Regions from separate parts of the Mus musculus genome. Here all the other regions are reported to be linked to region 1. The links are microRNA targets in miRTarBase. Many come from high-throughput screens and were not tested one by one. Region 1 holds a microRNA gene; each other region holds the end of a gene's coding sequence.

Region 1 (4,066 bases):
TCTGACCCGAGATTAAATACCGTTTGCAGGGAGAAATGTCTGGGAAGGGAAGCTTATTGGCTAAGCCCTCTGGGCCTCTAGATGTCTCATTAGTGTGGAGAGCTCTGTTTTGGTCCTACTATGTGGCCACAGGACACATTTCTTTTATGTGAGAAGCATGGCAGGTATTCCAAGTCAGGAGTCTGGCAGAGAGCAGGGAGTTGCCTAAATCTCCGGTGACTGCCCACCTACTCTCCCGGGTCTCAACCGGTTCTACCCACCAAACTTCCTGGCATGGTTTTACGTCCCACAAGGGCATGAGCAGAGGGAGGTGCTGTGGATGCTCATGTGGAATTCAGGGGGAGGGGTGAGGACATGGGGAGATGAGGGCTCTCCCCAGTCAGCCTTCCAGCCTTGGTCTCCCCCTCCCATCCCCTTCCTGTCGGGCCCACAGGATGATTGAGGACCTGGAACTCTCTAACAAGCGGCACTCACTGGTGCAGACGTTGTCTGGAGGCATGAAGCGCAAGCTTTCGGTAGCCATTGCCTTTGTGGGTGGCTCTAGAGCCATTATCTTAGACGAGCCCACGGCTGGCGTGGACCCCTATGCTCGCCGTGCCATCTGGGACCTCATTCTGAAGTACAAGCCGGGTGAGCAGGCTAGCGGGCTGGCCGTGGCGGGGGTGGTGTCTCGGCCTGCCCTGTCTGTTCACTTACCTTGGTGTTTGGCCTACCCCAGGCCGCACTATCCTCCTGTCTACCCATCACATGGATGAGGCTGACCTGCTGGGGGATCGCATTGCCATCATCTCCCATGGGAAGCTCAAATGCTGTGGCTCTCCCCTCTTCCTCAAGGGAGCCTATGGCGATGGGTACCGCCTCACATTGGTCAAGCAGCCTGCAGAACCTGGCACCTCCCAAGGTCTGTGCTGAGACTACTTGAACCAGCCTCTGGTCCTCCGTACCCCATGATTCCTTACCTAGGAGAGGTGCAACCTCACCCTCACTTCATGGGGACTTGGGACACCTCTAAGCCTCATCTCGACTTGCTTGCCCACTAAGGCCCCTTCTTCCTCAGCCTCTCACGCATCCCCTTCTGCTCCCCCTTCCTTCCCAGAGCCAGGGCTGGCTTCCAGCCCCTCAGGTTGTCCTCGGCTGAGCAGCTGCTCGGAGCCGCAAGTGTCCCAGTTCATCCGCAAGCATGTGGCTTCCTCCCTGCTGGTCTCAGACACGAGCACCGAGCTCTCCTACATCCTGCCCAGCGAGGCCGTCAAGAAGGGGGCCTTCGAGCGCCTCTTTCAGGTGTGTGGGGCTGGCTGTGGTGGCTAGGGACACGAGGGGCCCGGAGAGAAGAAGGACACGTCGCTGCCTGCGTTCCGTGGCGCTGCCTTACCCGATCTCTTTGCAGCAACTGGAACACAGCCTGGATGCGCTCCATCTGAGCAGTTTTGGGCTGATGGACACAACTCTGGAGGAGGTGTTCCTCAAGGTGTCTGAAGAAGATCAGTCACTGGAGAACAGCGAGGCTGGTAAGAGCACCCAAGGCTGGCGGTCTGTCCAGCTACCCACAGAAGGCCCTGGGGACACTGCTTCTCTGTAAGTCTCTGGAAGTGGGGTCAGGATAGGCTCGTGGTGGATGGTATGGTAGCTCTGCCTACCTGTGAGTAGGTATGTGAATTAGAGGCTGGGATCAAGGCAGGGCCTGGGGTTATGGGAGGACACTAGGGACTGAGGTACTAAGATGTCCTGGAGAGGAGAGCCTTGGCCCAAGCCTTCCCTCCCTCACCGCCTCTGTTGTTTGCAGATGTGAAGGAGTCCCGGAAGGATGTGCTGCCTGGGGCAGAGGGCCTGACAGCTGTGGGGGGTCAAGCTGGCAACCTGGCTCGGTGCTCAGAGCTGGCACAGTCACAGGCATCGCTGCAGTCTGCATCCTCTGTGGGCTCTGCCCGTGGGGAGGAGGGCACCGGCTACTCTGATGGCTACGGTGACTACCGTCCCCTCTTTGACAACTTGCAGGACCCAGACAATGTCAGCTTACAAGGTGGAAGCCAATGGGGAAACTGGGGAGGGTCCAGAAGGGTGGCGTGGGACTGGCTATTTACCTCTGCCTCTCTGCACAGAGGCAGAGATGGAGGCCCTGGCTCAGGTGGGCCAGGGCAGCCGCAAACTCGAGGGCTGGTGGCTGAAGATGCGGCAGTTCCATGGGCTCCTGGTGAAGCGCTTCCACTGTGCTCGTCGGAACTCCAAAGCTCTCTGCTCTCAGATTCTGCTGCCTGCCTTCTTTGTCTGTGTGGCCATGACTGTGGCGTTGTCTGTCCCTGAGATTGGTAAGGGTGCCTGGCCCATGTGGTCTGGGGCGAGGCTACTGTCTTGCCCCTGGGTCTTGGCTTCATTTTTCTCCCAGCCCCCTGTAGAACAGTCCTGAGCTCCTCTCCTCACACTCTGAACCTTACTCAGGGGCTCATGAGAGGATCTGTCTCCTTAGGAGTCATCCCCACAAGCTCAGCCCTCTCTGTGTTAGGGCTGGGGCTGGCATCAGATAACTGCAGTCTGCTCAGGTCTCCGTATTCACCCATCAGGTGACCTACCTCCACTGGTCCTGTCACCCTCTCAGTACCACAACTACACCCAGCCCCGTGGCAACTTTATCCCTTATGCCAATGAGGAACGCCAGGAGTACCGGTGAGGCCGTGGGCTGGGGCTGTAGCACAGGGCAGGGCAAGAGTTGAGACTTATGGCTCCTAACTCACTGTCATGTCCTCAGATTACGGCTGTCACCTGATGCCAGCCCCCAGCAGCTGGTGAGCACATTCCGGCTGCCCTCTGGTGTGGGTGCCACTTGTGTGCTCAAGTCTCCTGCCAACGGCTCCCTGGGACCCATGCTGAACTTAAGCAGTGGAGAGTCCCGCCTGCTGGCGGCACGGTTCTTCGACAGTATGTGCCTGGAGTCCTTCACACAGGGGCTGCCACTGTCCAACTTCGTGCCACCTCCGCCCTCACCCGCCCCTTCTGACTCACCCGTGTCCCCAGATGAGGATTCACTGCAAGCCTGGAACATGTCCCTGCCACCTACTGCTGGGCCAGGTACTACCTCAGGGAAGGCTCCGGGGGGCACAGGCATGAGTGACCCATCTCATTGTGCTGCACTGTGCCCACAGAGACGTGGACGTCGGCGCCTTCTCTGCCACGCCTAGTGCATGAGCCAGTCCGCTGTACCTGCTCTGCACAGGGCACGGGGTTCTCATGCCCCAGCAGTGTGGGTGGACACCCACCCCAGATGAGAGTGGTCACAGGTGACATCCTGACTGACATCACTGGCCACAATGTTTCTGAGTACCTGCTCTTCACCTCTGACCGTTTCCGACTACACCGGTAAGTTGGCCTGAAGTGGCTGTGAACAAGGGGTGCCTGGCAGATGGCTGCCGAGCCTCAGTGACCCTCCCACCTGTCTTGTACAGATATGGAGCCATCACCTTTGGTAATGTTCAGAAGTCTATCCCAGCATCCTTTGGTGCCCGGGTCCCTCCTATGGTGCGGAAGATTGCAGTGCGGAGGGTGGCTCAGGTAGGCGGCTGCCCTTGGGTTTTGGGCACCTGGTCCTAAGCCTAATAACTTTTGGTTTCTGAGCCTCTCTGAGGTCCTTGCCCCTCCCCAGGTGCTCTACAATAACAAGGGCTACCACAGCATGCCCACCTACCTCAACAGCCTCAACAATGCCATTCTGCGTGCAAACCTACCCAAAAGCAAGGGCAATCCAGCAGCCTATGGTAAGGAGAATCAGGGTTGAAGGACAGGCAGGGATGCAGCTGAGCCGAATGGTTGCATGGACCTAAAGCTACCCTTTTCCCGTGTGCAGGCATCACCGTCACCAACCACCCCATGAACAAGACCAGTGCTAGCCTCTCCCTGGATTACCTGTGAGTGAGGCAGACCAAGTTGAGGAGGGGCAGGACCACCTCGTCCTGACACCTCCTGGAACTGAGTGCTGTCCCCTTCTAGACTGCAGGGCACAGATGTGGTCATCGCCATCTTCATCATTGTGGCCATGTCCTTCGTGCCAGCCAGCTTTGTGGTCTTCCTTGTGGCA
Region 2 (4,066 bases), not on the chromosome of region 1:
AGTCTTTGCTTCCCCATGCTCATCTTCCTGTACCCTTCGAAGGGGCTTGTGAGAAATGAAGAGACCAACGGGTTGGTGGGAAGGAAGGAGGACCAGGAGGATCAGGGCGACAGGATACCATGCAGAGTCAACGGCGTTTCTTGGGATTTGTTTCATTGTTGCTTCCTCAAACTCAGAGCTTGTTTTTTGCAAAGCTTGTTCAAAGAACCATGCTTTCTCAGGGAGTGAGGGTGCCTGGGTCTCCTCCTAGGTTTCACACAATTAACTGTTTACCCGAAGTGACCCAATCTGGATGAAGGGCAGGGTCACCCAAACCCTTCCAGCTTCAACAGAAACCACACTTTCTGGCAAAGATGACACTTTACCCTACTGTGTGTGTGTGTGTGTGTGATTTGCTTTTTTTGTTTTGAGGTAAGGTCTCACTCAAGTTGCGCTTGCTGACCTCAAGCTCAATATGTAGCAGAAGATGATCTTGAATGTCTTTTTTTTTCCTTTTTTATTAAATATTTTCTTTATTTACATTTCAAATGCTATCCCGAAAGTTCCCTGTACCCTCCCCCCCGCCCTGCTCCCCTACCCACGCACTCCCACTTCTTGGCCCTGGCATTCCTCTGTACTAGGGCATATAAAGTTTGCAAGACCAAGGGGCCTCTCTTCCCAGTGATGGCCGACTAGGCCATCTTCTGCTACATATGCAGCTAGAGACACGAGCTCTAGGGGTACTGGTTAGTTCATATTGTTGTTCCACCTATAGGGTTGCAGATCCCTTCAGCTCCTTGGGTGCTTTCTCTAGCTCCTCCAGACCTTGAACTTCTGAAGGTCCTGCGTCTACCTCTTAGGTTTATAAGTGTGCACCTCACACTGGCTCGTGCAGTGCTAAGGACCAAGTCCAGGGCCTCGTGAATGCTGTGTAAGTACCCTAACAGCTGAGCTCGGTGTTTTCAGCTTTTACCCCAGCCTCATAGTAATGGACAGAGTTTTCTTTTTGTAAATCACCTACGCTGGACATGGTGGTATGTACTTTTAATCCCAGTATTCAGAAGCAGGGGGATTTCTGTGAGTCTGAGATCAGTCTTGTCTATCTAGTGCGTTGCAGGACAGCCAATGTTCTATTGTGAGATGCCATCTCAAAAAATAAGTCCCTCCCTGAAAATAGCCCATGTAAAGAGCAGGAAGGGGAATGTTTTGGGTTAAATCAGTGGGACTTGGGGCCCAAAGAACCTCAACAAGAGTTCCTCTGCCGTTTCTCTGAGGACTACAAGAACTATGTCAGGGTAGAGGGTGGAGCTCTGTGGTAAAGGACTGTCTGATCTGTGCAAGGCTCTGGGTTTAACCATCAGCTCCACAAAAAAAGAAGAAAATAGTTACTATAAAGTCTGTGTGCTCCCTTCCCTAGTAAGCTTGCTTTTCTAAAAAAAAAAAAAAAAAAAAAAAAAAAAAGGAAAGGAAAGAAAGAAAAACCCAGCCAGGCTTTCTCACAAAAGTGTTCTCTAGAAGAAATGGATCCTGTAGTAGCTGATCTAGAAAAATTACCCAGAGTTTTGTCATTAGAGACACTTTAAGCTTTAGGGTTGAACTACTACTTTTCCCATCTTACCATTATTTCTGAGGGATCCAATAACATACGGAACAGCAGGACCCTAATTAACTGAAATCCCTACTGTCTCAGATGTGGGGGTAGGGGTGGGTGGCCATATGCCAGCCATCCCCCACCCAAGCCTTCCACCCTTGGCTGTGGTTCACCAGCGACAGGGGAGCTTCCTCTTTAGAATTCAGTTCCTTTTCATTTCTCTTGCTCAGAAAGGAGGAAAGAATGCCACAAGAGGGTGTGGGGGAGGGGCCAGAAGTGGAGAAGAGGGGGAAAAAGCCTCTTTCACAATAGGATATGTGCCTGAGATGATTGGATGATTATATCCTGGAGTTACTTCATTGATTTTTTGTTTTGTTTTGCTTTTTTTTTTGTTTTTGTTTTTGTTTTTTCGAGACAGGGTTTCTCTGTGTTCCCCTGGCTGTCCTGGAACTCACTTTGTAGACAAGGCTGGCCTCGAACTCAGAATTCCACCTGCTTCTGCCTCCCTAGTGCTGGGATTAAAGGCATGAGCCATCACTGCCCGGCTAGGTTCATTGATTCTTACTTAATCTAAAAGAACAAGATTAGAAGGCTCAGTGGGATAGCTAGCACAAGCCTTTAATTCCAGTACTCTGATGGAGCTCTGTACTTGAGGGCAGCCTGGGCTATATAGTGAGTTCCAGGCCAGGCAGAAAACAAAGCAAAACTCCCAAACAACCAACCAACCCCCAAACTGGAGAGGACCAGATTATCCACCCCTGGGATGGAAGTCCCAGTATACCTGGGTGCTATCCTTGTCCTTGGCTGTGAGAGTCTCTGTCGAACTGTTTTGCTGCCTTAAGTCAGAAACAGGTGACTTCTTTCCCACTGATAAACTGAAAAATAACTTTATGGACTGGATGTATAGCTCAGCGGTAGAGTGTTTTGTTTGCCTAGTGAGTGAGGCCCAGGCACCATGAATAAATAACAAACAAAACTTCAGGGTAGATTTTTGAATCTTAACAACACACGGATCTCCATGTCCAGCTATCAAAATGATTTGTAAAGGCTTAATCCAACCCAAGCCATGTAAGTCATCCTGGGAGCTATGGCTTATTGTTCTTGGGCCTTCAGCATTCTTCCTCAAAACCAAATGCCCACTTAGTGGCTGAGTGAACAGATTCGGAAAACAGGCTTCTGTCTTTTGAATAATTGAGCAGACAAAGCTGTAATGTGAGACACTCAGAAATAGTTGGATTGCCTTCACTAAGCCCTCGGGTTTTCTCCGCTCCGCTCCCAGACCTCTTGCCTGGCTGTGGAAAGGGAGAAGAAGCTAGTACCAGAAGAAAACTGATCAGAGACTATTGTGACGGTTGCCACCCTTCCCACTGACTGTGAGAAAGCCCACCCTTCAGGAGGAACGCATCTGGCTGGCTGCGGCTCTCTGGAGGAAGCTCCAGGATCAGAACTGAAGGTGTGTGTGTATCTGGCCTAACCTGGCTACCACAACCATGACCTAACGGAACCCTTAGACCCTGGGCAATAGCACCTCTTACTCCTAAAATAACTTTTAGGAGATGAGCTGTACCAGCTTGAGAGCCTGGCCTAGATCAGAGCTTCCATCTACCATGAGAGGCAGGGACAGACACACACATTCTACCCTTGCTAGCTCTTTCCACCCTGGCCTCAGCCCAGCATCTCCTGCCTCTGCTGGCTTCTCAGCCAGGGGAGAGCTAGGCAACCGACAGCCTGCTTCCCCAGCTGCTGATATGCAAGTCAGAGCAGAACCACAACCGCAGAGCACATGAGGGAAATGGGACAGAGACACAAACATCCTGTCCTTTCTGTACCAAGTGGCTCCAGCTCGAGACATAGAGTCACCAAGATGATATTTATGTGGGACAGAACCACCCATTGACTCTCACAAGTTCATCCTGCCTGGACTCCCAGCTGGGTGAGCCGGAATTTCTCTCTGGTCTATGGACTTCGCCAGGGCTGCTATTCTGCTTGGGACTTTGATGACAGGAAATAGTGGCCCAGGGCTGAGCAATGTTTCTTAGAGCCAGGGCAACTCTTCTCAAGGTAGCGTAGCACAGGGTGAAGTTCTTTCTCCAGTTAGCAAGAGAGGAACACAGAGGCCCCCCCTCGCTGTGATACCTTGTGGGGGTCTTTCTCACAAGTCCAAGGGGCTTCCCCAGGCGAGCCTCACCTGGTGTATGAACGCTTCCAGTTGAAAATCTCCTCCAGATTGGAAGAAGGGGAAACCTCTCGCTTCTGCAGGCCTCCCCAGCGACGCCGGCCCCCTAAAAATGAAGTCCTGCGCCTGCTCAGCCCTTTCATTCTCTCTTCCATTCGGAAGAATTCAGTCAGGGCCCTGAAGGACTCCAAGATGACCTCGTGGCTCCATGCTGGCAAGGGTTCAGGGCGCAGGAAGCCACAGTGGCCTCCATGGTGACTGAGCAGCAGGAAGAAGTACGGGTTGCTGTGGAAGAGTTCCGCAGGCAGAGTGTGCTCTGG
Region 3 (4,066 bases), not on the chromosome of region 1:
CTGGAACTCACTCTGTAGACCAGAAATCTGCCTGCCCCTGCCTCCCATGTGCTGGAATTAAAGGCCTGCACCACCACTGCCCGGCAACTTCTTTTCTCTTAAGAATTTCATGTAGCGGGGCTGGAGAGATGGCTCAGCAGTTAAGAGCACTGACTGCTCTTATGAAGGTCCCGAGTTAAGACCCCATGGTGGCTCACAACCATCCATAACAAGATGTGACACCCTCTTCTGGAGTGTCTAAAAACAGCTACAGTGTACATGTATTTACATATAATAAATAAATAAATCTTTGAAAAACAAAAACAAAAAACCTCGAGCGTGGCCAGGGAGAACCTTGAGTGGTTGTCTAACCTCCACCTTTCAAATGTTGAGGTTAGGATGGCACCACACCAGGTTCATGCACTGCTAGAGATTGTACCCGAAGCTTCATTAATGTTAGGCAAACACTACCACTGAACATCTCCAGCCAAGAAGGGTTTGAGCAGGGAGACAGTGCCTGGAGAATCTGTAGTGACACTCCTCCAAGTACAGAATACCAATTCTCTGAGACTCAGTAAAGGTTAAACCATATATACATATGGTTAAGTCATAGCTTTATATAAGCTATATAGCAGCATTCAAGGTAAACTTATTGGTAGATGAATTGGAGTAACACATGTCTAATTTGCTGTTTAACTTCACCTTTCTACACACACACACACACACACACACACACACACACACGTGTTTTCCTTAATTACTGTATTGGGGCACCGGACACCTTTAATAGCTTGCCCAGTGCATACTACTTTAGGAACTGCGTTGTGGGCGAACTAGTCGATGAAAAGAAGCAGCACTGTAAGACCTTTGTTTTTTAGGGATGATAATGCCAGCCAGTTCCTCCTTAGCTGGCTTACTGGAATAAAGCTCCTTTTCTCACGCTCTATTGTTGAGACTGACTGGCTCCTGCCACATGGTTTTACGTACCCAGCATGCACTGGTAACTTTTACAGTAGCACACAACAGTGTGTTGAGTCAGAGTAGGGCTGGATAAACATCTCATTTAGACATTCTCTGAAAGTTCTTTGATTCATAATTTGGTGATCAGTTTTCATAAGGTTTCTTTTTTTTTTTTTTTTTTTTTTTTGGTTTTTCGAGACAGGGCTCCTCTGTATAACCCTGGCTGTCCTGGAACTCACTCTGTAGACCAGGCTGGCCTCGAACTCAGAAATCTGCCTGCCTCTGCCTTCCGAGTGCTGGGATTAAAGGTGTGTGCCACCATGCCCGGCTTTCGTAACAGTTCTTGAGAGGGGCAGCTTGAGGTCAGAACTCAGACACTATGGTCCAAGAAATATCTGACCGTTGTGTATCTATGTGAGATGGCATTGGGAATAGAATAGATCCTTTTGTGTGTGGCACTGAGGGAAAGCTGGCTGGATGATTCGGCATGCACTGCTCTTGTCGACAATCTCAGCTCTGCTTCCACAGCAAGCAGCTCACTACTGCCTGTAACTCCAGCTCTAGGGGATTCGAAACCCCTCTGGACTCCACAGGCCATCTACAGCAATGAGCACAAACCCACAGGTAGACACACATACAAAAAATAAGAGAGAAGGCACTAGGAAAAACTGGTTACTTTGCTGTTGGGCAGTAAAGAAGTTCAGAGCAGGATAATACCAGGTGCCCGGCACCCTAAGAATGAGAAGATACAACCAAAGGACACCTCCCACTCTAGCCCTCTTCAGGATCATTACAGCTTTTGCCCAGGCTTCTACCTCACTTGACACTTCACCTGACATCTTCAGATGATGTCCTTCCTAAGTAAGGACTAGCCTAGGCATAGTAAATACACCATGCTGTCCCCATGCCAGGGCCAACCATGATTAACATGTAAATCCAACTGTTTTTTCCAGAACTTGGGGGCTGTGCTGAGACACCCTCTACTTACTGTTATTGTGTTTATGAGTATGAACCTACATGTGTGCAGGTGAGAAGACTTGGCAGGACTCACGTAGTCCTCTCCTGCGATAAACTCTAGGAGATACCTTAGTGGCAGGTGCCTTTACTGCCGAACCATGTCGCTGGGCCCGGATGCTTTTTGTTGCTTCTGATGCTGTATCTGTGTTGTTGCTCTCTGTGGTTAACCTGTACTTTCATTCCTTTTTTTTTTTTTTTTTTTTTTTTGGTTTTTCGAGACAGGGTTTCTCTGTATAGTCCTGGCTGTCCTGGAACTCACTCTGTAGATCAGGCTGGCCTTGAACTCAGAAATCCGCCTGCCTCTGCCTCCCAAGTGCTGGGATTAAAGGCGTGTGCCACCACCCCCGGTCTGTATGTACATTCAAAGACTAGAACATGAGGCTCTTCTCTGACAACTACCCGTTAAGACAGGGTTTTGCCAAGCAGCCCAGGTTGGCCTTGAACTCGTGATACTCCTATGTAAGCATCACTAGTACTAGGACCACAAGTGTGTACATTTGATTCTACCTGGAAAGGCTAAAGTTTTCAGTGTAGGAATTTCTTCCATCCCAGCGTCAAGTGAGGGAACTGGTTACCATGGAGCCTCACTCTCTTATGTGTACCTGAGGGACAGTGGACTAGCTCTGGACTTCTCATTACAAGTCATTTCCTTGACCTCTCCCCTTTCCTTTCCTGCTTCTCCTACTCCCTTTTGGGAGTCCTACCAAGCAGGTCCGTAGGTCTTACACAGCGGGGAGAGTTACTCTTGGTTCAAAGTTCACCTAAAGTTCTGTTCCACACACTTCTGGTCACCGTGCTTTCTGCCCAAGTCCCTGGTCCTCCCTAAGACAACTTCTCCGTATCTGTCTGAGGTAATCAGGTCTCTGCATAACCTCATGCAATTCTTTTTGCAGCCACAGTGGGCAGGCAGTATTTTTAACCTCATGCAAGCTCAGGAATCAGGTGGCTTACAGACTGCCCAGTCTAGTGACCTTTACCTCTCAAACCCACGGCTGCCAGGAAGGGAAGAGTCGGGCCTGAAGCTAAGTCTTTTGGGGCCTCTGATAGCGTCTGGGGCCCAGAAAGACTTGTTCAATGAGCCCAAGTTGCCAAAGTCACTCTCACTCTTGCCAAATCAAATAGGCAAGAACCTTGAAATCACTTCTGCCACAGTGCCAGGACAGCCAGAGACTGGACATGACCAGGTTAACTCCCAAGGCCTAGGGAATCCAAAGGGGGCAGAAACAAAGCTCGCCTGCCCTCCCAACATTTGGGGCCCAAGAGGGCATTCAAAAATGCAAACTTTAATAAGCAGCAGGTCAAATGAGGAGTCCTCAAGAATGAGCAGAGCAGAGCTGGTATCAGAGGCCTCAGAGGCACCTGCTTCCTCCCCCCAAGGCCGGGAGGTAGAAAGCAGTGAGCCCTGCTGAGGAGGAGTGGTGCCCAGCTCCATCTAAGTCCACCTGTCTGAGGCCCTAAGCTCCATAAAGCGAAGTGGCAGTCTGTGGAGCCCAGCGGCCCCCTGCCAGGCCTAGGAGGTCCTCCGAGGAGTGTGGCAGGCTAGCCGGCCAAAATCCACCATTAGATTCTGAAGCTTTCCTCCCGACCATCAATGTGGCGGAGCCGTAGGTAGACATCCGTGCCAATGCCCTGCAGGGACTGCAGCTGCAGGGAGCCACCAAGATACTCTGCATATGCCCTGGACGTGGGCAACCCGAAGCCAAAGCTGGGAGCAGGGGATAGGATAGGGGTGTCAGAGGCCTGCGAGTCCTGGTTTACCCCTTCCCCCCATATTGGGAAGGTGGGGCCTTACCCATGCATAGGTCCTGACTGGCCACCACTGTGCATATCCAGGTGGCCGAAGAGGGGGTTGATTCGGGGGTCCTGGGTGCTGGCCTCAGCTGTGGTGAAGTGGTAGTCCATGACCCGATCCAGGTCCTTATGAGCGATTCCTCCACCCCGGTCTGAGATCCTGGCAGGATGTCAAGAACATGGACTTGGTCAGGTCTAATAGGTCTCACCCTAAGCATACAGTGCTGGGTCTATTCCTATTGTCTCTAAAGGTGGAATGTGACTTTATCATCTTCTACACTCACATCTGCCTGGGCCGCAGACTGCTTCTACTGTCCCA
Region 4 (4,066 bases), not on the chromosome of region 1:
CTGGTCTCCTTTGGGGGCCAGTGGCCCTCATTCCCACACTAAGCCCTCCTACCTACCCAGCTCTCCTGCGCTGGGTTTCTACAGCTGTATTGTTCTGCGGCTGTGGTTACTTAACCCCACAGCTTCTGAGCTATGGTAGACTTCACTAACTGTGCACCCTAGAGCAATCCCACTGGGTCTGTTCTAGCTGGGACGAGCATCGTTATCCCCGTATTACTGTTATAAATAGCCACCTAGGAAAATAATAAAGAATGCTTGTTCTCGGCTCCTGTGGTCGGCTCCAGCTTATTGATACTGGTGGTTTTCTTTGTCAACAGAGGGACAGCAGACAGAGCAGTGCCTGCTCCAAGGCCTGCTCCCTGTACCTGATAGGACTTGGGGTGCGGTAGGTCCAGCTTATTCTCTGCCGTGCTAACAGATGCTCTCTGCCTTGCTCTCCAGGCCAACCCTTCACATCTGGGCCCATTTGCTCAACTGGATTTGGTCCCAGAGGAAATGAAATTGCACTTATCCTTTGGCTTCCTGGTGGCAGCTATTGCTTAGCAGAGATTTAGGACCATCCAGAGACCCAGAGTCAGATCCATGGCCATGGGATGAAAGAGCTCATCTAAATCACTGTTTTTCATACATTCAAGAGAAATCAATGTTACCATGTACCTATTGAGTGAGCTCTTTTGTTTCTCTGCTTCTCTTCCCTGCTGGGATTAACTGCCTTCCTTCTTACTCCCCGGCTATGGATCCAGCTCAAAGCGCTTCTTATTTTGCCTTAATCCAGGGCTCAGGCAAATAGGATGTGTCCAAGCCTCACTTGGACAGTAATGCTGCAAAGTGATGCACATTTTAAGCCTGGAGGGTTGAGACTAAACAGGGTGAGACTGGCTGCCTCAGAATAGACACACACACACACACACACACACACGCTGTTATGAAAACACCAGGCTTGGGCCAGGAAGGTTGCTCAATGGGTAAAACTATCTGTGGTGCCAACTTAACAAAAATTCAGTTCCTAGAATCCACACTAGAAGGCAAAATCTGTCCTCTGACCTCGGTCTGAAAGTTGGCTCGTGCACACATTCACACTCAAACACTCCTGCACATTTAATAAATAAATAAATAAATGATAAATAATAACATTGATGAATGGATGATAACATCCCCCACTAAGGCCTCTCCTGTTTGCAGCTTCTCTGAGAAGGCAGGTTTGGAAAAACGACAGGTCATTTATTTCTGACCCAACTCCTGCTTCTTTTACCCTACTCTAGACAGACTAACTCTGACCTGAAGTGACAAAGAAAATTTTAGTCTGGAGAAAAATTAAGTATGAGAACTTAGGCTCTCATTTCTCCTGTGTTGTTGAACCTAGAGCCTCATACACACAGAAACCAAACCAAACCAAACCAAACCAAACCACTCTACCTACTAAGCTGTATCTCCAGCAGGCCGTTTTTAAACAAGAACTCAAAAGCACTATGAAGCAAGCCTGTGGCTGGAAAAGTAAGATTCCCCTTGTCATGCCCAGATCTCCCAGGACACTGAGCATCAACCCCTGACCCTCTTCTCCAAGCAGCCCCAGCAGAACAAGGACTGGGCTGCTGCACTGCACGCTGGCTTGCACTCTGGTCCTGGGCTGGAAGGCATAGCCAGCATCTTTGTGAGGTACAAGAAATCAGAACCGAATCTTACTGATTTCCCCCTAAGAATGAACCCTGGCTTGTCCTTGCTTCCTCCTAAACTTCCTACAGTGTTCTTTTCTCTTTAAGATAGGATCTCACTGGGCTGGAGAGATGGCTCAGTGGTTAAGAGCACTGGCTGTTCTTCTAGAGGTTCTGAGCTTATTTCCCAACAACCACATGGTGGCTCACAACCATCTGTAATGGGATCTGATGCCCTCTTCTGACACACAGATGTACATGCAGTTAGAGCACTCATACATTAAATAAATAAATCTTAAAAAAAAAACTCACTCTATAGCCCTGGCTCTCCTGGAACTCCTCATGTAGACTAGGTCAGCCTTGAACCCATAGATCCACCTGCCTCTGCCTGAGTGCTGGTACTCTTCCTTGGTAGTCTAGTCTAGCTGGGCGGGGACAAGTCCAATACCTAAAAATAAAATGCAGGCTGGGCATGGTAGTTCATACCTTCCATGAGAAGGATCACTGCATGTTTAAGGCAAGCCTGGGCTACATTTATCAAATTTCAGGCCTTCTCTCAAACAAAACAGAATACATAAAAGCTGAAGAACGGTCAGGCTTGTTAGTGCACACCTTTACTTCCAGCACTCAAGAGGCAGAGGCAAGCAGATTCCTCAGTTCAAGGCCAGCCTGGTCCAGGACAGAGGGCTATTACACAGAGAAACTCTGTCTGTGGCAGGGGTGGGAGTGGGGAAGCTAAAGACCAATCCCCCCCACTTTGATTTATATATAAAATAAGATAAAGTAATTTTAAGCTGGGTATGGTGTAGCACTCCTTTAATCTCAGGCAAAGGGGGAGGGAGGATGGGAGGCAGATCTCTATAAGGGAGGCTAGCCTGGTATACAAAGCAAGTTACAGGGATGTTACACAGAGAAACCTGAAGAAAAAAAAATTAAAACATCTATATTAAAGAGATCTTTTAAAGTAGTATTCTGGGATGGAAAGATGGCTCAGTAGCTAAGAATACTTGTTACAGGTTGGAGATGGCTCAGTGGGTAAGAACACTGACTGCTCTTCCAAAGGTCCCGAGTTCAAGTCCCAGGAACCACATGGTGGCTCACAACCATCTGTAATGGGATCCTCTTCTGGTGTGTCTGAAGACAGTGACGGTGCACTCACACACATAAAATAAATACATCTCAAAAAAAAAAAAAAGAATACCTGTTGCTCTTGCAGAAGACACAGATCCAGTTCCTAGCACCTGTGGTGGTTCACAACCATCCGTAACTCTAGTTCCAGGGGATCTGACACCCTCTTTGGACCTCCAAGGGCACCAGCCATGCGTGTAGTACATAAACACAGGTGCAGACAGAACACTCAGGCATATAAGATTAAGTGACTTTTAAACTGTGTGTTGCCAAGGATGGCATCTAGTTCCTGGTCCTCTTCTTGCCCCAACTTCCCACGTGGCAGGACTGTAGCAGGGTGCCCTAGTTTGTAGACACTCTAAGGTCTTCCCATCTAGAGTTCCTGGAAGCCGCATCACTTATAACTATACTGCTTTCCCATGCCTGACATCACAGAACCGCTCCGTCCCAGTCTGAACCAGGGAAAATGTACAGAACACACAGTTTATCCAACTCTTTGACAGTATTTTATTCCAAATGCTGACTCGGCCTATAATTAGAAAAAAGAAAGCTGTGGGTCTGATGCCACAGCTTGCTGCTGCTGGGAAAAGCCCAGTGTCGCGTTTGTTCTCTCTGCTGCTGCTTCTCATTTCACCTCAGAAGCTGAACATGGCTGTAAACAGAAGATGCTCCAAGGCGGGGCACCCCAGCCACCACCTGGCCACACAATCAGCCATGACTGTGAGGGGCTTGGGGGACTGCTGACCCAGGCAGGACAGGAGACAGCACGGGAAGCCTTCGGGGTACAGGTGGGTACAGGTGACTTTGCAGCCCCATCGGAACACCTCAGGAGTCTTTTTGTCTTTTTTCTTTTTGTTTTTTTTTCCTGAGACAGGGTTTCTCTGTGTAGCTCTGGTTGTCCTGCAACTTGCTCTGTAGACCAGACTGGCCTTGAACTCACAGAAATCCACCTGCCTCTGCCTTCTGAGTGCTGGGATTAAAGATGTTCACCACAACTGCTAGGCTCCTCAGGAGTCATTAACGCCATCAGGCTAGCTGAGGCTTCTGGGCCTCCCCTTGAGTCTCTTCGTACTCCTCCCAGGGTTTCAGCTGAGGACCAGGAATCATCAAGGTCTGAAAAGAACAGGAGGAACTCAAGTTACCTACCAATCCCACCTACTGTTTACCCAGGATGTCCTCCTCCCGCAGCAGCATCCAGGGAAAGTTCCCCTTCCCTAGAGCTGCATCACTCCGTCTCGCCACTAGGTGGAGCCTAAGAAGAGCGTTTGAGCTTGACAAGGCTATCT
Region 5 (4,066 bases), not on the chromosome of region 1:
GTATGTGTGCATGCCAGAGGACATGTGGAGGTTAGAGGTCAACTCCTGGGAATTGGTTCTCTCCTCTCACTACGTGGATCTCAGAGATAGAACTCTGATCAGCAGGACTGGTGGCCAGTGCCTTTCCCCTTTAAGCTATCTGGATGGCCTGACCTTTTTTATTGGACTGTAGATACTCCATACATTAGATCACTATCTTTCACACATAGGTTAACTTCTACTTTACCGATTGTTTTTAATGTGGCTTTTGGTAAGAGGGACCCGTTTTCTTAATGATGGCTCTTTAGTTAGGTAGCTAATACTTCCCATTGCTTTTTCTTCCTTAGGGAGGAAGTCAATATAATTTCTATCCAAGTGTTCCCATCCTTCATCAGTTACTTCACCTACATAACAGATCTGTTGCCTGCCTGCTGGAAACATTCCTTGTATCAATATCTTATTTGCTTTCAGTTTTTACTGCTAGTATTGATACAGTTTGCTTTATTTTTCACATTTCAGCATCTCTGTACTGAGCATATGGTCCACGCTAAAGCTAGGTCTAACGGCACAACTAATTAGCAGGGTTTCCTGAGAGTTCATAAAGTACCAGTATCTTACAATTCATGGTGTTCAGATCTGATGAAATGCAGCATGGTGGCTTAGTTGTGTGTGCCCTCATGCATGCATTGTGGTGTGTGTGTGTCTGTTACTTCTGGATGCAATGTAACCGGGGGCTTACACATTTGACTATTTGGTCCTCAGCTGGTGGTGCTATTTTGGAAGGTTGTAGAACCTTTGAGGCATAGAACCTAGCTGGAAGTGGGTCACTGAGAGGCAATCCCTAGATGTTAGTTCCCACTGTTGCAGTGGGAAGCTACTCCCGCTGGCACTACATCCACTGAGCCATGAGCCAGACTAAATCCTTCTTCTTGGTTCCTCAAGGTATTCTATCACAGTGACAATAAAAAATAACAACAGCGTGTAACCCAATGGAGAGACTGCCTTCACCATCACTAACCCCCTAGCCCCTGGCAAGGGTATCAGGGCCTTCATATGCTAAGCACACACTTTACCACTGAACTGGGTTCTTCTTCTAGAATGATGCATAGTACTGCAACCTTACTCAAAAGCCAAGCTCAGTTTTTACGTGGGAGATGGGGATTTGAATTCAGGTTCTCAGGTTTGCAGAGCAGGAGTTCTTACCCACTGGCTTTTCTCCACAGCTCAAGTCTATCAGATTCTACAACCTTTAAGACATCTTTTTATTTATAAAGAAATAAAAATCCAGGAATACAGAACTGATGGGATGGTTTAACAGGGAAATTGCTTGCTGCATAAGCCTGACAACCTAAGTTCAATTCCCAGAACTCACATGAAGGAGAACCAACTCTACAAATCTGCCCTTTGAGGTTCACATGCTGTGCCACAGCACACGTGTGCCCACAACCACATTCAGACATCATGCATAGTGCTAATGACAATAATGCTTTTTCCTTGAAAAGAAATCCAGGAATATATACAATTGAATCTTTATAACATTAATTGGTATTTTTTTCTTTTACTGCACTAAGTGGTGATTTATGTAAATTCTGGTTCTGCTTACTTTTCTTCCCCTTATTAGGAATTGAACCCAGGGTCCTCTACAAGCTAGGCAGGTATTCTATTCTTCAGCTATCCTCGCAGCCCCATTGTTACTCTTTGAAAGGGTTTCATTACGTTGCCCAGGCTGGCCTCAATTTCACCCTGTTGCTAAGGCATGCTTTAACTTTTCATCCTCTTCCCTCAGCCTCCTGAGTGGCTGGTATTACAGGCCTGCACCCCGGCCAGTCCTGTCTGCTCTTAAACCATCCCTGCATTTATTCCTGAGATAAAACCTTCTTGGTGAAGAATCAGTAGTCTTTGATTTGCTGATCTTTGATTTCAGACCTTTGCATTTATGTTCTTATGTAAAAGCAGTGTTTTTACTTCTGTACTGTATTTGTTAAGATTTTTAGGGGTGCCAGGTGGTGGTAGCGCATGCCTTTAATCCCAGCACTTGGGAGGCAGAGGCAGGCGGATTTCTGAGTTCGAGGCCAGCCTGGTCTACAGAGTGAGTTCCAGGACAGCCAGGGCTACACAGAGAAACCCTGTATGGAAAAAAACCAAACCAAACCAACCAACCAAGCAGACGACTTTTAGGGGCATTTTCTATTATCACAACTGGGACTCAGCCAGTGCTAGATTCTGGAAATTCTTCCTGGGACCTAGACCTGTTTTAAGGAATAATTTTTTGGCATTTTTTCCTAACTCCAGAATTCCAATTCATTTGGAGACATTTCCCCCAACTGAATGCTGCAGGGACCTCCTTGAGATGGCACTGGGGTTTTGATGCCTGTTCTCCCACTCCATTACTTCTCTCTCTACACTCTGTAGAAGCCACGTGCACGTGTGTAGGGCTCCTGTGAGTGACTGCAGCAGGCACACCTACATTTCAGTCCTGTGGGTCTAAGATGTTTTTCTCTTATTCTGACGTGAATGGTGCTTGGAACGATTCCAGGGTTACAGCACAGTGTTCTCTGGGCTGCACCTTGCTGCACCCAGTGTTCCTTGCTAAGAGCTTATTTCTTGTCAGGGAGATGGTGCACAGATTGAGATCACACAGTTTCTTGTTAAACCTCATGTAGCCATTCTGACATTGCGAACTCCTGGGCAGTTGGCCTACTGGTTAGCTTGGACACCTGGGCACATGCTTCTCAGTTCAGAGCAAGCTATTTCACTAATACTAAACAGTCTAGAGCAGCATTTTCCAGAACCTTCTGGGATGATAGGAATGGATACCTTCCATGATATGTGGCCTCTGAGCAGATAAAGTGTGAGCACAGATGAAGAGATGAATAAATCCAATGGATTAGATATGAATAGCAATTGCTACATGTGGCAGTTAGTGGCCCCATCTGGGACAGCGTAGAACTAGAACCCTGGAAGCTCAGGGGCCTTTGGTGACCACAGTTAGTTCTCACTGTGTGAAAGAGGAAGTCGGAGGCGTGGGGAGGACAGTGCTCTTGCAGCATTAGACTTACACCCTGGGAGTTTGCTCATAGAAACTTCATCTAAATAAGGCCAGAGGACGTGGGTGAGAACAGGAGCCATGACCAGTGCCCAGTGGCCAAGAGTTCAGGGGTGGACGTTTCTGATAATCACTTAGGTTTAACATAGCTGGGTGATAGGGAGCGAAGCTCTCCATATTCCAGCTTTTACCAAGTGGGAATAAGGGCACAGAGTGCCCAGTGTGCTGTGCTCAGCCGTCGCTCATGTTGGAAGGGCACTGAGGATTACAGCTTCAGACATTGGGCCATCTTTTACTCAAAAAAAAATTAAATATAATCTTTTCTTTTTTAAAATTTGCAAGGAAAATTTTTTTCTTTCCAAAATTGGTCTGAAAGACTATCCAGTGTGCTCTTGTGAGTCATGACTACTTAAACCAACTTGAAGGTCTGCTGGGGCAGCCCAGAATGCCCACCAAGGTAAGGACATAGACGGATTGGAAGAGCAAATGACTGCAACAAGGCCTGCATTCTCTCCATGGCTACAATAACTTTCATCAATTCACCAGGAAGACCGCGTGGCAAGATTTAATAGTGTTGGCATCTCCAAATGGTGTGTAGCATCACAGGCCAGGTGCCACCAGTGCCTTATTATTGCCATTGGGTTGTGACTGTTGGTATAGTGACGACATCAGGAGCAATAGGTAGATTAAAAAACCGTGGCTGGGAAGTTCTTTTGAGGAGAGGGACCAGGTGAGGAGCAAGGAGGGCTCAGAACCTGACGTATGTGGCGTCGATCTGCCGCACAGAGGGTAAGGCCAGCATGACCTTCCGCCGGTATTGTGGATCCTTCTGCAGGGGGTTGCGCTCCAGGTACACGGTCTCCAGACTCCTGGCACCCTTCAGCTCATCAAGGTCACTCCAGCTCTCCAGTAGATTGTCATTCATCTGAAGGAACACATGTGGAAAAAGCCATCAGTGATCAGTTCTGGTCCCCTATGTCCCAGGGTCCCCAGATATGAGACAGGAGTCATTAAAACCATCTATAGTCTTTCTTATGCCAA
Region 6 (4,066 bases), not on the chromosome of region 1:
GTCCATCTTTCAGTAACCTCCCACCAGCAGTTCATTAGAGCATCTCTAATTAAACATAGTGGATCCCAGGGGGTGGGGGCATGAAAGTAGAAGGGAGTTTGGCAGAGTGGATGGCAGAGTAAGGGAGAGTGAAAATAACCCAAAACACATTACATAGAAAGTGTTTAATAAAAACAGTACATCTTCAGTTTCCCTAAGGTGTGCTATGTCTAGTGGTACTGAGCCTAGGGGTGTGTGTGTGTGTGTGTGTGTGTGTGTGTGTGCGTGCACACACTCTCCTCTCTCGCTCACACACACACGGAAGGGAAGAGTTCTCCCATTGAACCATTATATTCCACGATCATTTTTAACTCTGTGAAGCAAAGTTAGCCTTCAAAATAGCTTTAAAGTCTGTTCCATCACACCCGGCTGACTTTTGAAAAGAAACACATTTTTACCCTTTCATGGTCTTCCAAGTGCCTCCAAGAGTTTCTTCCTTGTTGGAACTATTTAGGTATTTGCATTTTGGCGAGCTGATCATTAATTCTAAGGATAAGCTTTTACTCTCTGAGAAAATGCTTTTTTTCCTTAAAGCAGAGGTTAAGGCCGGCAAAAGGTCATACTTTTCTTACTTTTTGCTAACATTGCATCAAATATAAACAAGTTTTGCAAACAGTTTGCAGTAACTTATTTATTGTTTAGCAAGGCCTATTACAACAAATTGGATGTTTCCTGAAACCTATTTAAGATAAATTAATTTCTATTGTTTTAAAACTATTCTAATACAGATTTCTAATATGGCTTGCTAGGTTAAAGATTTCTAATAAAAGCTTGCTTAGGAAACTCTAAGAATGGTTTTTAAAACATATGTATCCTTCTGTTTTAATTATGCGTGGGTGTCTAGGTATGTGTATGCAAATGAGTGCAGGTGCCATGGATGTCAAAGGCAACAGATCTGCTGGGACTGCAGTTACAAGCAGTCCCGGAAGGACGTGCAACTGAAAACTGCCAAGAGTGTTCACCAGCTTAGCCTGAGCATCTCCTCAACTCTTGGGGTTCATTCTGAATACATAAAGAACCTATGCCTTATTTCTAATCATAAAAGAATTTACATTTCATGGTAAGTTTCACAGGTATTAGAGCATCAGAACAGAATTAATGTGCCTAGTTTTGTATCTTCAAGCTACTTTTTTTTTTTTGGTTTTTCGAGACAGGATTTCTCTGTATAGTCTTGGCTGTCCTGGAACTCACTTTGTAGACCAGGCTGGCCTCAAACTCAGAAATCCGCCTGTCTCTGCCTCCCAAGTGCTGGGATTAAAGGCGTGCGCCACCACCGCCCGGCCATAGCTACTTTTTAAAAGACTAAAAATCCTCCGGTGTTTAAAAGACTACCAAATAATAGCTCTGAAACTAAAGTCATAGCTTTGTAATGTATGTTTGATTAGTTCTCTAAAGTTATAAAAATACAACCACATTAGTAACTATCTTTATTCTCAAATTCATAAAACCATTTAACATATATTTTACAGTATAAACAAATTAAGTGCTATGCATTTTGCTTATAAAGTGACTTAAAGTATTCAAGCATATAATTCAATTTGTACAAAAGTTTTCAAATAAAGCTTTGGTTAGTAAAACTGACTATATACCATCAACTCCATTTTTCAATGTTGTTCAAAAAAATTAAAAAGAAAAACAAAACACAAAACAGCACAAGTATTTCCTGTACAGTCAAAGCTTCTTACTGTTTAAGAGTGAAATATTCTAATAGTTGCCTTTAGTGTGGAGCTCTGGGTCGGTCTTTTCCTTCTCATCCCTACGTGCCTGAAAGAACACCACCACTCTTGAAAAGCATGCACTGTGTGGACAGCCATTCTGTTTTAGTCTCAGTAAGTTTATCTATTTTTAAGACTGTTAGCTTCCATAATTATCAAGGTACTTTGTAAAAGTCCCACTACTACTGAAGAGCCATTTCAGGCTCTGAAGCATCCTGTGGGGTAAGTCACTACTAACTTCTCTCAGGAGAGACATCTGTTAGCACTAGTGCCCAGAATCCAAGCTCATACAGGATCTAAAAAAATGAAAACCAAAAACCCAAAACTATAATATAACCAAAACTTAGTATTTTTATATTCTACAAAGACTAGAATTTACCTTTATTCATATTAAAGTAATATGAAAAGCTACATAACTTAATATAAAATACCAGTTTCAACCAAACTGACAATCACAAAACTATAGATATTTTCCTATTAAAATGTTCCAGTTCACTGAGTAATATTTATGCAAATCATTATGAAATATATCTTCTTTTAAATTTAGTGTTTCTAAACTGTACAGATGCTCTTTGATTTTTAAAGTTGTATTTATTGTAGCTATGTAATTCCAAACTTAAAGCATGAGCCATCACTAAAGTTCACTGGAGACTAATATCCTTTCATGAAACTGTTCATAAACAATTTATAAAGTTCTACTTTTAATTATTTCAATTTGGTTTTTAAGTAAAATTTTAATTTAAATAATTACTAATAGTTTAAATAAAGACTTAGAGAGAGCAAAGCATTCCTTTACACACGATGCCTCAGGCACCACAGACATTAGTAATATAACAAAAGAGAATGCATGTGTTTAGCATATCACACAAGAAACCTAGAGTTACACAAGGCTGAGTGCTACCTCTCCTACTCCACGGATCTCTCCAGATTGGATCCTGGCTCTGTGTGCCCTCCTTAACAGCCACTTCAACATTCATCAACGTTCTAAGTACTTTGATAGTTATATCTTTATTTTTAAAACAGCTTCATAACGTTTGAAAACATTCAACCAAGGTCTTACGAGCACTATCATACATTTCTCTCACAAAATGCTCACTTTCCTGAGCTATGTTAAACACCTTATAACAGGTGTATTTATAACTGAAGACCCTAAAATGTCAAGTTTACATTTTTTTAAAAAATGCATAGAGAACATTTCAGAAAACCTATTAGTACATTTCTGAGATATTACAATATACAGGTTGCTTCCTTCAGACTGAATTATCTCAATTTCATAATTGGATATTACTTTCAAATATGAAACCACATTTTTAATTTTTAAACATATGATTGCTATTAGGCTACAAAAAAGGAGTTATCTGAACCAAACTATAAGTCTTCTGACAAACATCATTCATAGCTCAAAGATATCAAATTTCTGTGCCACAGAACAGTAGCATTGTATCAGCTTTAGAGCAGATAAACTTTTAGTTAGAATACGTTTCTTGAATGAAGGTACTACTCACTCATTATGTCCTGTGTCATGCAGTCCCTTACCAAGTAGGCATCATGTCTGGGAACCATACCCTGCCAAGATGCTTAGACACTTCCCAATGAATTTGTTCCAAACTATACTTTTGGTCAGGAATTAACACTTCTTCCATAATGGATAACTGAGACAGGCGGCCCCCACACATCTTCACAAACTCAACAAAGGCACTACATGAGACTTCACATTCCCCCAGCCCAATAGCTGACAAATTTTTGCAACGTTCCGCAATGCGAATTAACTCTTCATCAAGAGGCCGCAACCCATTGGCACACACTACCAGTTCCACTAGTCTCGGGCAGGTCATGCCCACACGGCCAAGCACATCTTTGCTGACTGATCTCCCAAAGTAAAGATGCGTAGCAGGTATTTCATAACGAAAGAATGGGTCAAATTCCTCTTCGTATAAAAAAAAATACATCACTAGGTTGACTTTCGGTGAGTGTTTGATGAAGGCATCCCAGCTGCTCTTCTGGATAGTGTGGAAGTGTGTCTGTCCCGGGTTCTCACTGACAACATCAATGCGCAAATGTTCTAAGCGAACATGCTTTTCAGAAGACAGTGCGAGCAACAACTCATCACTTAGCAAATGGTAGTTCAGGGCCAGTTCTCGTAAGCCATGACACTGGTCAGCCACACACAGAATGCCTGGGGGGGGGGGGGGGGAACAAAGCCCAATTATTTATAAATTATTTTAAAATTTATCTGTTCAACTGTTTAATCAAGTGCATGTCCTAGAAAATAGCCACATTATATAATGCAATTTTAAAAATTCAGTTGTGAT
Region 7 (4,066 bases), not on the chromosome of region 1:
CACAGAGAAACCCTGTCTCGAAAAACCAAAAAAAAAAAGACCACTAAATGCTGTCACAGTTTATTACAGTTTTTACTAACAAAATCATGTTAAAATACTTCTAGCTTAATTTGATAAGCCTTGTTAGAGTTACTGAAGGGATCTCTCTATATTTATTTTTCATGAAATATAATTTTAAAATGCTTTGTGTGGAGTATGGAAAATTGGCTTCCTAATGAATAAAGTTCCAAAGTACAAAATTGTTTGTAATGTGTACAAATCACGTGACGTGTAAAGAATGAGTTTGACTGTGACTGAATTAAGTATGCTGTCAGCCATGGGGTTTCATCTGCATGGTTGTACTCAACTGGAGGGACCAACATGGGGTTTCATCTGTATGGTTGTGCTCAACTGGAGGGACCAACTGTTTTTAGATGTCTCTGTTTCATAGATGACCTTTAAAAATATAATATGACATTTGTGTCTGTTTTAAACTTCTGCAGCTTCTACCGAAACTAAGATTGATGTGGCTGCTATCAAGGAAAAGGTTAAGAAAGCAAAGACGAAGAAACTGGGCGCTCTTACAGCGGAGGAAGTTAAGCTCAAGATGGAGGCTGACGAAAAGAAGCAGAAGAGAAAAAAGTAGCATTGGGAAAAAATCCCGAACTTTCTAAGGTGTTTCCTTTTGTAAAGGATTTTGAGATGCGAAGGTTTTAGCTGAGTCAGACTCAGGAAATCATGACCAGTTTCCTTCTGTTTGTGGCCGTATGCTCTGTAAATATAAATACGTAGGAGGTAGATGCCTACGTGTACATTGTGCCCAACTGGTTCCAGGCAAGTTTTGCCTAGCTGTTTTAGGAATATCTGTTATTTTAAATTATATAGATTTTTGGAATGAGTCATCAAATCCAATGTTTGTTGCCATTGGTTGGTCTTCATAATACTCAGAACATTTGGTTTTGAGGAAAATACGTGCAAAATTTCCACTTAATTTCTTTTATTATTTTACTCCAGGATTTAAAAAACAACAACAGAAAATCCAAGGCCTCTAAATCAAATCTGTCACTGTTCTGAGTGAGGAAATGGTACCAGGAAAATGTATATGGGTATCTTACCCTGCAGTAAGCATGTGGGTCCCTTCTCCCACTGAGGCCAGAGGAGGGCATAGACTCCACTGGAACTAGAGGTGTAGGTGGTAGTGAGACAGTGTGGGGACTGGATATCAGACACTGGGCTTTGCAAGAGCAGCAAGAATTCTTGAGGGCAATTGGATTTAGAATTATCAACATGAGTATTACAGATCTGGAAATCTGAGATTTCCTGGGCGTGCGTTACTCGCTGCAGTCCTTGCTATGGCAACCTGGTCAGTCTGTATTCGTAATGCCGAAAGACAAGTTAACTCTGTAGACTTAGAAGAAATTCTTTTGACTGAGATTTTATTGAAAAGTTTTTAAATAGCCGCATGTGATTCAGTTGTCCCCCAACCACAGCTTTAGTCCAAAAGAACCAAGTTAGGATATTTGTGCTTTACCCAGATGGTAATTATAACAGACAGTAATAGGAGAACCGACTTAGCAATGAGAAAGAGAGATGTGTATCTGTTACGCAGGTATATAGGCCAGTCTGGATAATCGACAGAGTAGTAACCTGTGAAACGAAGAAGAGTGGACTCAGTTTCCCATGCTGTGCTAACCCAGCCTGCATAGTGCCCCGGGAAAACAGCTTAAGGTTTGCATACATACGTGAGACCTGGTCTCGTCGTGGGTTAACTGTAAAACCAGAATTAAGAAAAAGTTAGGTGTAGGGGAAGCTGTGTTTCTAATTCTTTACAACCGTGACCTTGATTTGGCTTTAAGTACAATGATTTTCAAAGATCAGTCCAGTTTTGGCTGCAGTATCAATAAGATATTTTTCAGTCTTTTTATATGAACTTGATATGTAAATTTTTGTACAAAAGACATATTACCAGGATGATTGAAAAAAAACATGCCACAACTACCAGATGAATCTGGTTTTGAGCTATGGTTGAAACTAAAGATTAAAATATGATTTGTAAATAATGCAATTAAAGTATTTCTTTTAATTAAAGTAGTTTGTTTATGATGAAGGAGGTAGCAGTTTCTCATCCAACCCAGCAGGACACCAAAGTCTCAGCCGGGTATCTGGCTTATCAGATGATGTCTCCCCCTCCCTTCTAAGCAGCCCTACCCAGCCTGGCTTCTGTGAGCCAGGCTGCTACAGAGGTGGCAGCAAAGAACCATGGGATTGGCAGAGCTGCAGTCGCTTTTGCTCCCTTCACACTGTGGAAAAATCAGACTTCTTAAGGGCAGTCTGTTAAACTTTCCCTGCGGCCTCAGCTCTGCCTAGTGTGGCTTACCTACCAGTGTGGAGAGACACAAGACCCCCAGGTCTGGAGCATTAGCTCCAAACTTCTGCCCATGCATCCTTTCTTTGTGCCTAGTATGTTGAGCTGGCTTCTGGGTCTTACCACGGCCAGCTCAAAACACATGCTCATACCTTAATTTTATGGAAAGTTTTTATTATCGTACTTACTGCAGAGACTGTTGAGACACTTGTCATCTTTTGGGCAATCACTGCACGTGGCTCCTTGCTTATATGGCCACGTTGGGTAATTTCCTCTGGAAAGCAGAAGACCGTTAGTACAGGGGCCAATGAGTGTCACGTGAATCCTGTGTTTATGAACTTTAATTTATACTGTCACATTTATGAGGAGTCTTAAGGAGGAATTATTTTTGTTTCTGTTAAACAGGTAAGGAAACTAAAGATCTTAGAGATTAATAATTTGCCAAGATGTCAGTTTATATGAGTGAACCAGGAAAGAAAAAAAATCTAGAAATGTCTTATGTTGGGCTCTTTCTACTTAACCCATTGCATATGTGATAACTTCCACCCATACACTGCCTATCCTAGAAAGGCTATTACACTTTGTAGGTGTTTTCTGTGTACCAGGCCATCGTGGATTTTACTAGATACACCGTTCGGCTGGGGTAATGACCTCCAGAAGAAAAAAGAAAATTAGGAAAAACTTATTTGTATGTAAATGTGATAATAACTGATAACTATTATCTAATCAAATATCTTAGGGATAGAGAGAACTCAGTAATTGATCTCTTTAACATGTTTGGACTTTTTCCTATGCATCCTTTGAGGATAACTTAGTTTCATCCATGCTAGGCAAATGTTCTATCAATGTACCACATTCCCTAGCCCCAACCCCCAAAAAGCAACTTACTCTGAAACCAAAAGACAGTAGAAGATACAGGCATATACATACATACATACATATGTATAAATGTTCATACATGCATGCATGTAGGGCCGGGAATGAAATATAGTATAGTGTCTTTCATTGTTAAAAAGCACAACACTCCATAAGCAGCCTAAGTTGTAGAATGGTTGTGATTAAATCACTATTATCTTATTTTTTTAATTGTCCATTCCACACTAAAAGAGAAGGGGGAAAATGTCACTTAAAATTGGTAGATTTGGCCAGGCGGTGGTGGCGCACACCTTTAATCCCAGCACTTGGGAGGCAGAGGCAGGTGGATTTCTGAGTTCGAGGCCAGCCTGGTCTACAGAGTGAGTTCTAGGACAGCCAGGGCTACACAGAGAAGCCCTGTCTCGAAAAACCAAAAAAAAAAAAAAAAAAAAAATTGGTAGATTTGTTTTGGGGCAAACATGAAACAAGGAAGACCTGGGCTGGTTTGGGTGAATTTCCTTAAGACAGAGAGACTTTACTGTGCTCTGCCGAATCAAGCAGAATAGTTTTGAATTTGTTCTAGAAACCCTGTGAGGGGGCGGGGCGTGAGAGGGTTGGGAGCCTGGGAAAGAGGGAAGACACAGAATATGAGCAAAGGTCCCCAAGGGGATGGCCTAAGGTGGCAGTGCCCAAAGAACACTGGGCACACTCAGGGCCGAAGCTTAACTCCCCTGTTCTGAGAGCCCTGGAGTCATGGGTTAGAACATGTTTATAGAGTATCCCCCATCCACACACTGAAACTGACCACATATTAGGACACAAACAACTCTCAAGAAACAGGAAAAACTGAAATAACATTCACCCTGT

Evidence for each region. The annotated mature microRNA mmu-miR-3087-3p reads UAACUCACUGUCAUGUCCUCA and lies in region 1 at 2,722-2,742, shown strand. An mRNA with a match to its seed (bases 2 to 7 or 8) in the 3' UTR can be bound and repressed. Matches are read on the target gene's strand: a 7mer-m8 pairs with bases 2 to 8, a 7mer-A1 pairs with bases 2 to 7 and ends in A, and an 8mer does both.
Region 2: miRTarBase lists Abhd15 as a target of mmu-miR-3087-3p. Seed matches in the 3' UTR shown: 7mer-m8 at 2,019-2,025.
Region 3: miRTarBase lists Bckdk as a target of mmu-miR-3087-3p. Seed matches in the 3' UTR shown: 7mer-m8 at 2,209-2,215.
Region 4: the mRNA of Mrpl45 is a reported target of mmu-miR-3087-3p. Seed matches in the 3' UTR shown: 7mer-m8 at 3,714-3,720.
Region 5: the mRNA of Ppp1r7 is a reported target of mmu-miR-3087-3p. Seed matches in the 3' UTR shown: 7mer-m8 at 1,345-1,351.
Region 6: the mRNA of Fbxl3 is a reported target of mmu-miR-3087-3p. Seed matches in the 3' UTR shown: 7mer-m8 at 1,224-1,230.
Region 7: the mRNA of Krr1 is a reported target of mmu-miR-3087-3p. Seed matches in the 3' UTR shown: 7mer-m8 at 3,580-3,586.

The regions. Positions count from the first base shown.
Region 1 is chr2:25,440,092-25,444,157 of GRCm38, forward strand. It overlaps Mir3087 (microRNA 3087), which reads left to right and starts at 2,688; the gene lies at 2,688-2,743. Abca2 (ATP-binding cassette, sub-family A (ABC1), member 2) reads left to right here. Exons shown (of 49, transcript NM_001368624.1): 23 at 434-630; 24 at 719-901; 25 at 1,097-1,281; 26 at 1,388-1,508; 27 at 1,784-2,020; 28 at 2,100-2,306; 29 at 2,559-2,661; 30 at 2,744-3,063; 31 at 3,138-3,351; 32 at 3,438-3,543; 33 at 3,635-3,746; 34 at 3,836-3,896; 35 at 3,979-4,066.
Region 2 is chr11:77,518,530-77,522,595 of GRCm38, reverse strand. It overlaps Abhd15 (abhydrolase domain containing 15), which reads right to left. Exons shown (of 2, transcript NM_026185.4): 2 at 1,968-4,066. The coding sequence ends at 3,755. Among named protein-coding and RNA genes, the nearest start is that of Abhd15, 5.4 kb to the right of the region's middle.
Region 3 is chr7:127,907,762-127,911,827 of GRCm38, reverse strand. It overlaps Bckdk (branched chain ketoacid dehydrogenase kinase), which reads right to left. Exons shown (of 12, transcript NM_009739.3): 11 at 3,749-3,907; 12 at 2,164-3,661. The coding sequence ends at 3,517. Among named protein-coding and RNA genes, the nearest start is that of Kat8, 2.7 kb to the left of the region's middle.
Region 4 is chr11:97,328,309-97,332,374 of GRCm38, reverse strand. Mrpl45 (mitochondrial ribosomal protein L45) reads right to left here. Exons shown (of 8, transcript NM_025927.4): 8 at 2,455-3,893. The coding sequence ends at 3,807. It overlaps Gpr179 (G protein-coupled receptor 179), which reads left to right. Exons shown (of 12, transcript NM_001081220.2): 12 at 1-265. Among named protein-coding and RNA genes, the nearest start is that of Mrpl45, 15 kb to the right of the region's middle.
Region 5 is chr1:93,364,774-93,368,839 of GRCm38, reverse strand. It overlaps Ppp1r7 (protein phosphatase 1, regulatory subunit 7), which reads right to left. Exons shown (of 10, transcript NM_023200.3): 10 at 1,224-3,950. The coding sequence ends at 3,774. Among named protein-coding and RNA genes, the nearest start is that of Gm26446, 3.6 kb to the right of the region's middle.
Region 6 is chr14:103,079,581-103,083,646 of GRCm38, forward strand. It overlaps Fbxl3 (F-box and leucine-rich repeat protein 3), which reads right to left. Exons shown (of 5, transcript NM_015822.3): 5 at 659-3,930. The coding sequence ends at 3,287. Among named protein-coding and RNA genes, the nearest start is that of Cln5, 11 kb to the left of the region's middle.
Region 7 is chr10:111,984,057-111,988,122 of GRCm38, forward strand. Krr1 (KRR1, small subunit (SSU) processome component, homolog (yeast)) reads left to right here. Exons shown (of 10, transcript NM_178610.4): 10 at 483-4,066. The coding sequence ends at 625. It overlaps Glipr1 (GLI pathogenesis-related 1 (glioma)), which reads right to left. Exons shown (of 6, transcript NM_028608.3): 4 at 2,533-2,618; 5 at 1,722-1,748; 6 at 1,392-1,626. The coding sequence ends at 1,472. Among named protein-coding and RNA genes, the nearest start is that of Glipr1, 11 kb to the right of the region's middle.